Linked DNA regions of Caenorhabditis elegans. The protein of the gene in region 1 interacts with the protein of each later gene in a biochemical or structural test. Each region holds a gene or a part of one and is shown on either strand. Other genes may lie near its edges.

Region 1 (5,676 bases):
GACGGTAATTGTCTGCCATCATCATCGACTAAAGTGCGACTAATGGCAATAGCCCATACCTCCACCACAGCTGGTCAACATCTCGTTTATCCTGTGTTGCGAACATTTCCGAAATTCTTCGAAGCGTCTTGAGAATTTTTACAACAATATAAAAGAAAAGTATTTCAGGGATAATCTTCCGTCCTCAAGTGTTTGTTTTCCTAATTGTTTACCAGATTCCGCTTGACTAATTTTTAGTGAACTGAAAATTAATTTGCACTGACCAAGTATTTCTGCTTAAAGTATACACCTTGAATTTAAATTTTGCCGTTGACTATATCGCCCAATTTTTTTTTATTATGGCAAGCCATTCTTCACCGAATTATTGAGTCATCGGACTAGTTTCGGAGGTGACGAGGCATGAGAATAAGAAAGTTTCGGCTTTCTTTTTTATCCGTGGAAAGTGAGATCCAGAAGAAAAGTGGCGGAATTTCAATAACTTTGAGATGACGCATTATTACGACAACGAAGCAGGGGTTTTTTAATTAGAAAATCTGAGATGAACTTACTTTGCAGATAGTAAAAATAAAGTTTTAAGGTATAAAAAAGGATTAAAGGATTAAAAGACGATCCCTTCTTCAAGTGCGATGCACTGCGGATCTAGGAGCCAGGTACACTGCCTGATGGTGCTCCTACTGGGCTATAATTTAAGCCACGTCCTAGCCGGAGACTGTGGCGGAAAATCCAGTTATGGATTGCTCACCTTGCCAATGGAGGCTGGGTGAACCTAGGGAGTGAGGCCGGACTTGAACTCGTGACCTCCAGATTGCTAGCGACCACCACTACCGACTGAGCTATCAAGAACTTAGTAGAAAACGGTAAGCAGTTTTGAAGCATTGAGAATTTCAGTTTAGTGGGAACTGAAAGTATAGTTATGTGTTTTAATTTAGAGAAAATTCTTGAACTATCAATCGTGAAACTCGGCTGAAGCCCACTCCTATTTTTGAATGTACTGCAATAGAACCATCTTGATTCTAATTTTCAAAAAATCTTCTATCAAAAACTATGACGCCAAAATTATCTTGTTTAGACTTCTTGAAATCGCTTGGCCCCATCATTTGTCAAGCAAAAAAAAATCACAAGTGTCCCACGTTCTCGTAGCCTAGCGAAACATGAAATATGTTGTCTCATTTCAACAAAAAATTTACTTTTCTTCTTCTCACTGACTATACAACATGTTTGGGCCGAGAAAATTGTATCCAAATTGTGAAATATTTCAATGACACAGGATTTCGGATAGAAAGATATACACAGTTTTTCCTCGAAAACCGGTCTTACGTCTGTTTGATGCGCGCGCCCGCAGGGGGATCATGCGTACTTGTAAGCAAATTTGAATACGATGAGTGGTCATACAAAGAAAAAAAACGGATTTGGTCATTCGGCTGGGACATATTATGCAATTCATACATCAAGCCTGTGAATATCCAAGTCTTGTGAAAATTGAGATAAGATGGAAAAAAAAAGAAAAAAAAACCAGAAAAACAATGAAAGTTTATTCTAACTGACGTTTTGCAGAGATAAAAGAAAAAAAATTAGCATGGAGAATAAGAAATCTAACAAAACATTATCAGTATAGAACACAATTTGGCCCAAATCATCAAGAAGCACACATCCATCTCTGAACGCGAATCACCCGAATCGAATGAATTCGTTCTTTCGTTTCTCCACTGCAAAACCACTTACAGATAAAATACATCAGAGGTGTAACCGAAAAACTCACTGGAAACGTCGTTGTCGTCGAGTCCAAGTCCCTTATCGGATCTTCCGAATCGGATGAACTCATTTTTTCTCTTTCCAAACCGGATGAACTCGTTCTTTCGTTTTTCCATTCTGAGAAAGAAATGATATTTGAAATGACCGACAAATACCAAATATGTACTAACCCGTCACTGCGTTTTCCAAATCGGATAAACTCGTTTTTACGCTTGTTCATCACCGGAACTTCTTGATCGTACAGTGTGACATCTGTCTGCTGCATCACCTCCTGCAAGGCTCTTTGGACGACTTGCATCTCCGCCTGCAAAACATTTTAGATTTTACAGGAATAAAAAACCACTTTGGAAACTAAAAAAAATGATCAACATACCTCAAGATGGCAAATCCGGAGTCCGAGTTCCTTCTCATTCTCGGTGGTCAGTGCGGACACATCACAGCTAGCGTTGGCCGATATGGCGAGTACAAAAATAGAAAAAAGGACTCCGGAGAGCATTTTCTACTTGAAAAGTGTGGACTGAGCACTGCTCGTGGCTTATATACTGGTCCGTCTTCTCCACTAACTTGGGCTCCGCGCACTTTGCTCCGCCTTTTCAGAGGCCACGCCTTCTTGTGCTGAAGAAATTCTAGAGTGTCCACTGGAAGGCGTTTGGTAAAAGAACGCGGGGGCATAGAAAACTTGAAATGGTAAATTGCATAAAACAAGTAAGAAACAGTAAAGTGCTTGTTCTGAGATTTATCTGAAATTGATTCATCGAAAAATTAAATTTACTCCGGTTTTAAAAGTCGTAAGACAATAAACGTGTCTTTGAGAGCAAGTTGATTCAAATTTTAAAAATTTGCTGAAAATCAAGTTTCGAAAACCAACGATATAAAAAAATTTTTTTTTAAAGTTATTAAAAATTATCTCATTTGAAAATTTATTGTATAAACCAGGTTATCTCAACTATCAGGTTAAAAACCGCTTTTTAGGTAAGAAACGTTATCTACGAAAAAACAAATTTTTCCAGATCAAACTTTAGAGTCATACAGTACCACCAAGAAAAATTTTAACATTTTGACATTGTTGTAGCAATTCGTTTGATTTGAAAATGGAAATTTCTCGAAGCTACCCTCGTTTTGAAAAATGAAAACAATGCATATTTATATTTTTGTGTCCTTATTTTGTTTTTTAAATTTTTTTAAAGAGGCCCACTTTACGTTTTTGTGTGTTTTCTTCTTCCTCGTCTATCTATCAGCTGTATAACCGAGCAGTCGAGGGACTGAACACAGTGAATACACGGAATTCATGCTGGGAGGTAACTAACAGATAAATTTAGCCACCGACACCCTCCGAAACTAATTATACCAACTCTATGCATTTGTAAATTGTTGACGTAACACTTGGACTTCTCCTTCATCTAATTCTTCAACTTTTTTCCACCTCTTCTCGGGGGGGGGGGGGGGGGGTACTTTGAAACCAAAAACTTATCCACCGCGCAAATTATTCATCACGAATCAGTTGCTTCCTCGATGATTCGCCTCGCAAAATGATTTCACGGCAATCTCTTCATAAATCTTGCCCTCCAATCATTGAATATTCATTCGAGCAACATGAAACTACGGTGAAGATTGCGTGTATTCAAAGTAAAGGTGCCCACATACTTTTTGAAGAGATCGTCCATGACGAAAATGAATTCATTTAAAGTAGAGTAAAACAAGACTTTTCAAAGAGAACAAAATATCAAGGAGTTCTTATGTCAAAATGGGATGGTCAAAAATGGAAGTCTAATCATTAAATAGTGAATGTCTTGAAAGTCAGTCATCTTATCCTGCATTATAATTATGTGCATAATAAGTGAATTTGCTAGTTTATCACTCCGCCATTGTTTAACAGTAGTCAGTCAGCTTTTTGATTATTTTCCAAAAGTATTCATTCATATTTACAGTGAATATTTTGAAAAATGTATTGTCCTTTAACTATAATTAATGTTGAAAAAATGTAAACCATTCTGTAAAAAGTTGATAATAATTATTAACTGCTCTGAACTTCTCGGAAAGTTATATATTTTCGTCGCCTCGCTATTTTACTAAAACCTTGACTGAAAATTAAGAAAAACTGGAAAGTTTTTGTACGGTTTTATTTTGATATGCGGCCAGCTTGAAACAATATTTACGTGTTTAAACAAAATGTATTTATCTTTAAATATAAATACAGTATTTCTTTTTTACTTGCACCACCTATTGAAAATCAACCCTGTATATTGAATTGAAAAGCTTCCAAATTATTTGATAATTTGACATTTGATAATCACTTTCCGCTTTGTTATATGTAATCTCAAAATTTTTCTTCCGCTATCAAAAATATGCTCGTTTTACTTTTTCTCTATTTTATCACAACATAAAAACCGATGAACGATACTGTTGTGACCGCAAATGTGAGAAGAGGAATCCAAAACACATACACACAAAAATAGTGACGAACGTAATTTCCAATGCATGGTCTTAAGACGGAACACACATAGTTTTTGGCTTGAAAATGTCAAAGAACTGTTTTTTTTCCTGGAAAATGGAAAACAATAAAATTATGGGAATTGTTTCGGAGTGGTTTCCGGCCCATGAGGTACTGATAGGAACTAACAAAAGACTCTTATTTAATTAACTCATTTATTACGAGTGATTCAAGGGGAAAACCTTGAATCACTAACACTCAACATTCATTTAAACGTGCCACCGTCGGGCACGTGCTGCGGTGGTGAAGACCGATGAAGACTGACGATATAGGCCAATGTGCGCTGCGCCATGATGACAAGAGTACGGTCGCAGTCGTTGTTGTATGTGTCGTGGCGAGACCTCATGCGCCTTGAATCGTCCTTTTGGCGGTAGTTTGAATCGGGGTTTCTGACGCCGTCCTTCTGCATGGTTGTTGCCGTTGATTGAAGAGATGATGTTGAGTGTTGAAGAGCAAGTGTTACGTAATAACAATGAATCAATCTTTACATTTAATCATTTGTTAATAAATCCTTAGATTTATTAATAAGTCGTGAGCGAGTGAATCTTTGTATTCACCGACTTCGTGACAGGAATATTCAAAATAGCGAGCTGAAGTTCAAGGGTACTGTTCGAGGAGTAAAAAAAAATTTGGAAATTAAAAACACTTTGGCTATTCTGTGTTCCTTTAAATTTTAATAAACATTTCCAACAACGTAAAAACATTTATTTGGTATGCAATCAAAATACTTCGGCAAAAGTTCTATATAAAACCGATGGAAAATGAAAAGAATAGAGATCTAAGTTTGATTTGATTCCGATATGTAGGTTTAATGAACAACTCATCATAATAATAACACAGCTGCAGAAAACATAATTATTAGTATTAGATTTAAATTGACGTCATTGTTGCATAAATTACCATCGCATGTGCAAACTTCAAGGTTTCCTGAAAGTTATATATATATTTTTTTTTTATTATATGGAACAATTTGAATATTACATACCTTCTCCACTAGTAATTTTTGTACAGTCTGATCGGATTTGTTCTTTTGCATTTGGTATGCAACTTCTCCAAACATGATTGATTCCTAAAATAAGTAAAAAGAAAATAAAATAAACAATTAATTTTGATCTATCTCACCGCTTTTTTCCTGGAAAATCATTTTCATGCAGACTCCATTTGAGCACTCATTGCTGCGAACTCCATCACGAAGAGCTTGATCAACCTGGAAAACTGCTCATTTTAGAGAAATATTAGCCGAGTTAGCCGGTCGGCTGAAATTCGGCTAATGCGGCTAACTTTATCAATTTCAGATTTTTTTGTTCATTCAGCAAGATTTTCACTAATTTTGTGGGTTATCAAGTAAGTAAAAACAATTCACTTGATAACAGAAACAAAAAAACGTACTGAAAGCAATTAAACAATAAAACTAGCCTACCCTAGACAGTCCT
Region 2 (6,249 bases), on another chromosome or scaffold:
TATGAAAATTGCATTCTCATAAAAATGTTATAAGACATAATCAACAATGCTTGGTTGTTAATAGGACTTTCCAGAAATATCCAAAAATGCCCATTACTTTGGCTGTTGATCACTTTTCTCTGCCTATTTTCGTTGTGGTAAAGTTTTCGCTTTGTATTCCATAATTTGCAAAATTTTCTTCGCCGCGGTATATGCATCCTTGTCACTGACTATTGCTTTTCCGAGTCATATGAATGAATTCTTGATTCACAAACCTTCAAGTCACGTCATTTTCAAGAAAAAACTCTATGCTTTCTGTTTTTTTTTTCCATTTTAAATTCCTGAAAAATGCAGAAGAATCACCTGTCTTTTTCACTGTATTTTTCCTCGAATTCTTATTCCACGTCACTTTTGGAAGCTGTCCACCACTTCCAAGCATTATTTGCAAGCAGAATCTATCTTGTTTTTCCCTAAGATTTTCAAAGTTTAAACTTACAATATCGAATTCTCTTCTTTTATTGCAACTGCATATTAAAGTAAATAGTCACATATAGGGAGTTGTACTCACAGTAAACCTCTACCGTAATCACAAAATAGTGAAGATCAGAAATAAAATTCACGTTTTAGAAACATTTTTGAAACAAGTGATCCAGACAAAATCTTTTGAAATATTCAAAAACCTTTGAAAAGTACACAAATGTCAAAATCTTGCGCTCCCTTCCAGTTCTCTTGCTGTCTTTGTTTTTGTTGGATGAATAACAAAAAACAATAGAACGTCGCTATCTTATTAATTAAAAATTGTTCTACTGGAATCAAATTTTCAGAAGAAAAAATCTGGTCACTCTTGAGAATGGAGGAGAATTTTTTGATTACGTTTGAAAACTAAATCAACAAGAAAACCAGTTCTGCTGGCATTTGTTTCTGGAAAAGTAAAAGGCAAATAGATTAATTTTGACAGTTTTCACTTTTGTTTTGGCTGGAAAAAAGAGTAAATAAATAAGGAAATGTAGTATAAAACGAAATAGAAATTTAGTTTATTTCATTAAAACTTTCTGAACTAATTCACCTAATTCACTCTAAGAACTCTGAAAAATGAATGCCAAACTGTAAGTAGATCAAATTCAATTTCCGATTATTGATTAGAACTTTTCCAGTTTAATCCTGATCTTTACCATTTTGACCATTACCTCTGGTCAGTATTACGGTGGCTACCCAACCGCTAGTGGTTACTACGGTAACGGAGTGTACGGCGGAGGGTATGGAAACGTTGGATATGGTGGATATGGGTATCCTGGTCAATATTATGGAGGATATGAATATGGAAGTCCATATGGATATGTTGGAAAACGAAGCAGTGGATTCGGTCCCAAAAATTGAAAATTAACTCAATCTCCTTCTATTTTTCTCATGTTTTTTGCGGTATACGTTATTTAATTTTACACAAATAAATTTTAACTGTAAGCTTCATCAGAGCACAAAAATTTTTATTGAAAAAAAATTGGGGTTCCGTTTGAAAAAAAGACTAGTTGGGAATTTTGTCAGAAATGTTAAACTTTTTAAAAAGTAAAAAAAAAAAACAATAGTATATAGACGGTGACCTCATTAATATTAATGCCACTCTCAGAATTTGCTCTTCTCTAGTTTTTCCCAATTTGTTATGATAGGAACGCCCATTATAGCCAAAATTAATTTTTAGATTCTGCATCCTACTCCTTTGGAGTTTTTCGAATATTTATTTTTTTCACACTGCAACAACAAGAAAAAATGTTGCATAAGTTTTCCAAATCTACATCATCATTTTTTTTCCCGACGCTCTCTGCTAAATTTTCCATCGTGAATTATGTTTCAAACCAAATGGGAACATCATTTATTCATTTTGAATGACTCTTTTTTATTGAGGAAATGTGAAAAATCATTTGGTTTGACCGACTGAACAATGCGTCAATTGCACCTGAATTTTGATTCACAAGTTGGTTAAATGCCAGACTTTTTTTTGAAATGTCCTGTTATCAAGCAGCTGAAAAACGTCTTCCCGGAGTACTCTCTAAATTCCTAAAAATGGAGGTTTTCATCAAACATTTTAAATATAGACATTAATGCCATTTTTTAGGATTAAAAAGACAATTAATACCCAGTTTGAAAACTTTTTTATTCAAAGACGTTGCGCCTTTGATTTCTCGTCTCTAGAAATTTTCGAAAGTATAATTTGTCAAAAATTCATAACTCTTTCGTCAACTACATTCTCACTTTCATTTCCTTAAATTATTCTGTCACGAATTTTCTTCATTTTTTGATCCAACTCATTCTCATTCTTGATCTTCTAACTTCATGATCCCACTGATCTGACCTATTTTCCCTATTTCCCAATCCCACATGTTTTTGATACAAACGTAATTTATTTCAATCTGTTCCATCTGGCTCTAAACGTTTCTAGGTTTCTATAAGAGATATTTCATTGTGACCGCGATCAAAATTCCTCACTTTTTTCAGTGCTTAGTTTTCGACGGAAATCTTATGCTTATCGGATTTTGTAACAACTATTCCAATAAATCTTTGAGATATAATCTTGTCATGATAGCTGACTATATTCCTCCCGCGCTTATTTAAAATAATTGCAGATCCCTATTTAAATCAAATATTTTTATATATCTAAAAAGGAAACATTTTTTATTTCGAAGAAAAACTTCTCTAAAAACTGTTTGAAATGTTTTCTCGCGTCACGATAATTTATTGAATTAATTTTATAGAATGCAGCCAATATCATTTTGGTTCATGAAACTGAAATCATCACCCGAAACTCAAATAATTTATGAAAACGGGGTTTTTCAAGACCACCTCCGTCATTTATGGTTACTTTTGAGGTTTGGGTGCCTCAGTTTTCAGAGTCAATTATTAAAATCACCTGTATCTATGATCATTAGCAAACCAAGTGGTGTTCATTTTATCGTTCCTTGTTTTTATTCAATCAAATGTCATACCTATACGGCAATCAAAAAAATGTATTGCTGAACACAATGTTTTTTAAAAGTAACCTTTACATGATCATTGTCGAGATTTCAAAAACTCCATAATTTCATTTAAAAATTTGAGTTTCTAACAACTTTCATAGAATAGTAAAGTGTGTTATGATCCCACCTTGCATATAAAACTTATTTCCTTCTTTGAATATTCCTGGAACTCCCGAATGCTTGTTTAAACTTTCAGCCGCTATGAAATCACTTTTGCTTCCGCCACTACAGTATGATTTTGTTTTTACTTCTGCTTATACATCCTATGATTCCTGCTCATTATATTGACGAATGCTTTCCGGATCTCTTGACATATGAACACTTTCTGCTTGACAGAAGTTTTGTAGGCGGGGCATAATGTTTTATGGATCACGATCCGATTTGAATCGGATTGACGTTTGCAAAAGTGATAGATGTACAGAGCTTCATGGATTATGAAACTTCCATTTCATTCTGATCGTCTTATAATTTTTATCCAAATCTCTGATATCATCCAGTTCTCTGACGCCTATTTTCAGGATTGTTTGAACTCAACTTACTTTAAAAGCACTTTGTTTTATCTATTTTCATCTAACTTCTCCACGTTTCAGATTCAAAATGAGTACGATTTCACCAGATATTGTGACGAACTCTACAGAAGAAGTAGCAGAATGTTCACGAAATGAAACTTATGACTTTAATCGATACGCACTTATTGTATACGTTGGAACTCCGATTGCAGTTGCTGGAGTTATTTGCAATTGGATACTATTTGTGAGTTTTTGAATTTCATTTCATCAATGTTGTAATTTTCAAATTTTAGAGACTATTCACCAAGTCAAAGTCGACGAAATCACCAGCCTTATACTTACTTCTTTTAGCAGTGCTAGGTGAGTATTTGAGAATATTTTTTCTACTAAATATTACTTTTTAAACTTTTCTATATTTTCAAATTTTCAGATCTTTTAATGGATCTCCTCTACATTCCCTTTTTCACAGTTGACGCATTAGCAATCTACCACAAAAATGAGTTTCTCTATCATATTTGGCATGATTATGCAATGTTTGTATTTGGACTGAGTAGGCTTGGTAAGAATAAAGATTAAAGTAGTCAAAAGAACGAAATAGCCTATTTTCAGTCCAATTTGCATCAACTTACATAATTCTGTGTGCTACTATTGAGCGATTTATTGTGGTGGCCGAGATAAACTCACTCGATTTTTTAATCTCGTAAGTGAAATACTCAGTACCCATACTTTTTTTCAATTTTCTTTCTTTACGACTTCGAAGAGAGTCAAAACAGTTTCTCCGGTGAATAAGAATCCATTCTAAAAAATTGCGAGAAAAACTAGGAAAACCCCCTGCGGTGAAACTATTTGATTTAGTGCACCTTCCTCTATTTTGATATCAGTAAACTTTAGTTTTAAATGCCTATACTTTTTATATCCTAACCTTTTACTTTCAGGTCAACAGGCCGATTTGTCACTATTGGAATCACCTTCCTAGGTGTTGCAATTCTGAGGCTCCCAGCATTTTTTGAGTATTTCATCACATACCGTCCCGATTGCCCTCTTTATGAAAACTACGACTATACACCCATTCTTGCCAGTTGGGAACATTATCAAATGTTCAATTTTTATGTGATGACGGTTCTTCACATTTTCGTACCATTTGCTCTTCTACTGATGCTCAATATTTCCATTGTCGTTGTTACGAAAAGGAAATTGACTGGAATTGGATGGGCGGTCACAACATTTATTGATATGCCAAAAGTTAGTGAGATGATTCGAAAAGAGTCTATCAATTCAAACAAGAGGCGAAGAGATGAGCTACGGTATGCTACATGGACAATGGTTTCAATTGCAACAACTTACCTTTGTTGTTCGTCTCTTTCCTTGTTTATAGGAATATTGGAAAATGTTTGGCCGGAAAACACACTTCTTTTCCAGGAAGATGGATCGAGGTAAAATTATTGTTGAAATAAATGTTTTAAATTAAAACATTTCAGTACGAAATTTTACACTTTCGCATCAGACGCTGTCAGTATTTTGGTTGCAGTCAACTCACTTCTTCGAATTGTTGTGTACTCACTTTGCAGCCCCAATTTTAGGTAATTGTCCTATCATCACTATGATATAAACATTATATTTTTCAGAAAACAATTAGTGAAAGAATATCCTTGTTTGAAATGTCTCACCTGTGGAAGTGACGGAGATGAAAAAGCGAAAAAAATCAAGGAAGAGAAGAAACTATTTATTGGATATCAGAATTTGATAATGGGTGCCAGGGTGGATATGCTGTGATTAATTAATTTTTATTAAAATAGAAATTATATAAATTAAAAGCGGGTTAAAGTGTGAAAATAAACATGTTCATTTTTAAAAACTGATTTTCCAAATATTTATTTCAGGAAAAATAGCAATTACTGAGTTTTTGTCACTTTTTGAGAAAATTATAGCACTTACGGATGTTTGAATCCCTACAATGTTTGAATAATAAAGCCCACCTTCATGCAAAAACTAAAAGTATGTGAGATTAGATTATATCATCGACGCTTCACCATAACCCGTTGTACTTTGTAACACCCTTATAATTATCATTTGAAGTTGTGTGTATGTAAAAACTTGTGATAGACTAAACACAAACCAGAAGTATTTTTTATAGATCGAGAGTCTAACATTTCAAATTTTACGAAAACATTCAGATTTTGAATAAAATTAGAAACATGTTTACTGTTTCGATTCGATTTTTGATTTCAGTAAGTCCTGAAAATTTTGTTTAGATTTTATTCAGAAATCGGAATATAACTTAAATATGGATTGTATGACAGGAAAAATTGGAAAATATGACATATACAAAAAGTTCGAACAAATTATTACCTATTCACGATAAAATTTATTTTAAAAGTGGAAAGTTTCTCGAACCAGCTTCTTAAAATCAAAATCAGGAGAATGAACGTTAAATATCAAGAAGAAGTTTTCCATCTCTTGTGAATTCTTAGTTATTGTAAGATATAACGATATAAAGTTCGAAAACCTTTCTGGAGCCGTTTGTTCATTATTCCGTTGACAAAGTGTAAAAAGAGCATTGCTGTAGATATTTTGTTGCCTTGATAGTTTTACGACTGCATCCTCTGATATTTCTGGGATCGCTGAAAAAACTACTATTTATGTACAGAAAATAATACTGCTTATCAAAAAACATTCTCACCCGGATTACAGAAGAATAGCAAGTTCATCAAACAGTACTCCTCATCTGTCACTTCCCACTCAAGAAGCTTATC

What was found. The genes of interacting proteins can lie anywhere in the genome.
Region 2: the proteins of flp-8 (region 1) and npr-39 interact in a test that uses a peptide from one of them, tested with the Caenorhabditis elegans proteins (one large-scale study listed by BioGRID).

What each region holds. Positions count from the first base shown.
Region 1 is NC_003284.9:14,878,110-14,883,785, reverse strand, and holds flp-8 (FMRF-Like Peptide), read right to left. Parts: upstream 2,368-5,676; 5' UTR 2,249-2,367; coding exon 2,126-2,248; intron 2,057-2,125; coding exon 1,923-2,056; intron 1,870-1,922; coding exon 1,719-1,869; downstream 1-1,718. Other genes in the region: sssh-1 (UPAR/Ly6 domain-containing protein qvr), read right to left, coding at 5,067-5,170, 5,229-5,312, 5,366-5,450.
Region 2 is NC_003283.11:10,063,503-10,069,751, forward strand, and holds npr-39 (G-protein coupled receptors family 1 profile domain-containing protein), read left to right. Parts: upstream 1-3,566; 5' UTR 3,567-3,584; coding exon 3,585-3,740; intron 3,741-3,789; coding exon 3,790-3,856; intron 3,857-3,926; coding exon 3,927-4,055; intron 4,056-4,105; coding exon 4,106-4,196; intron 4,197-4,431; coding exon 4,432-4,929; intron 4,930-4,974; coding exon 4,975-5,076; intron 5,077-5,121; coding exon 5,122-5,269; 3' UTR 5,270-5,866; downstream 5,867-6,249. Other genes in the region: fipr-13 (FIP (Fungus-Induced Protein) Related), read left to right, coding at 1,072-1,085, 1,134-1,356; nhr-192 (Nuclear receptor domain-containing protein), read right to left, coding at 5,867-6,117, 6,177-6,249.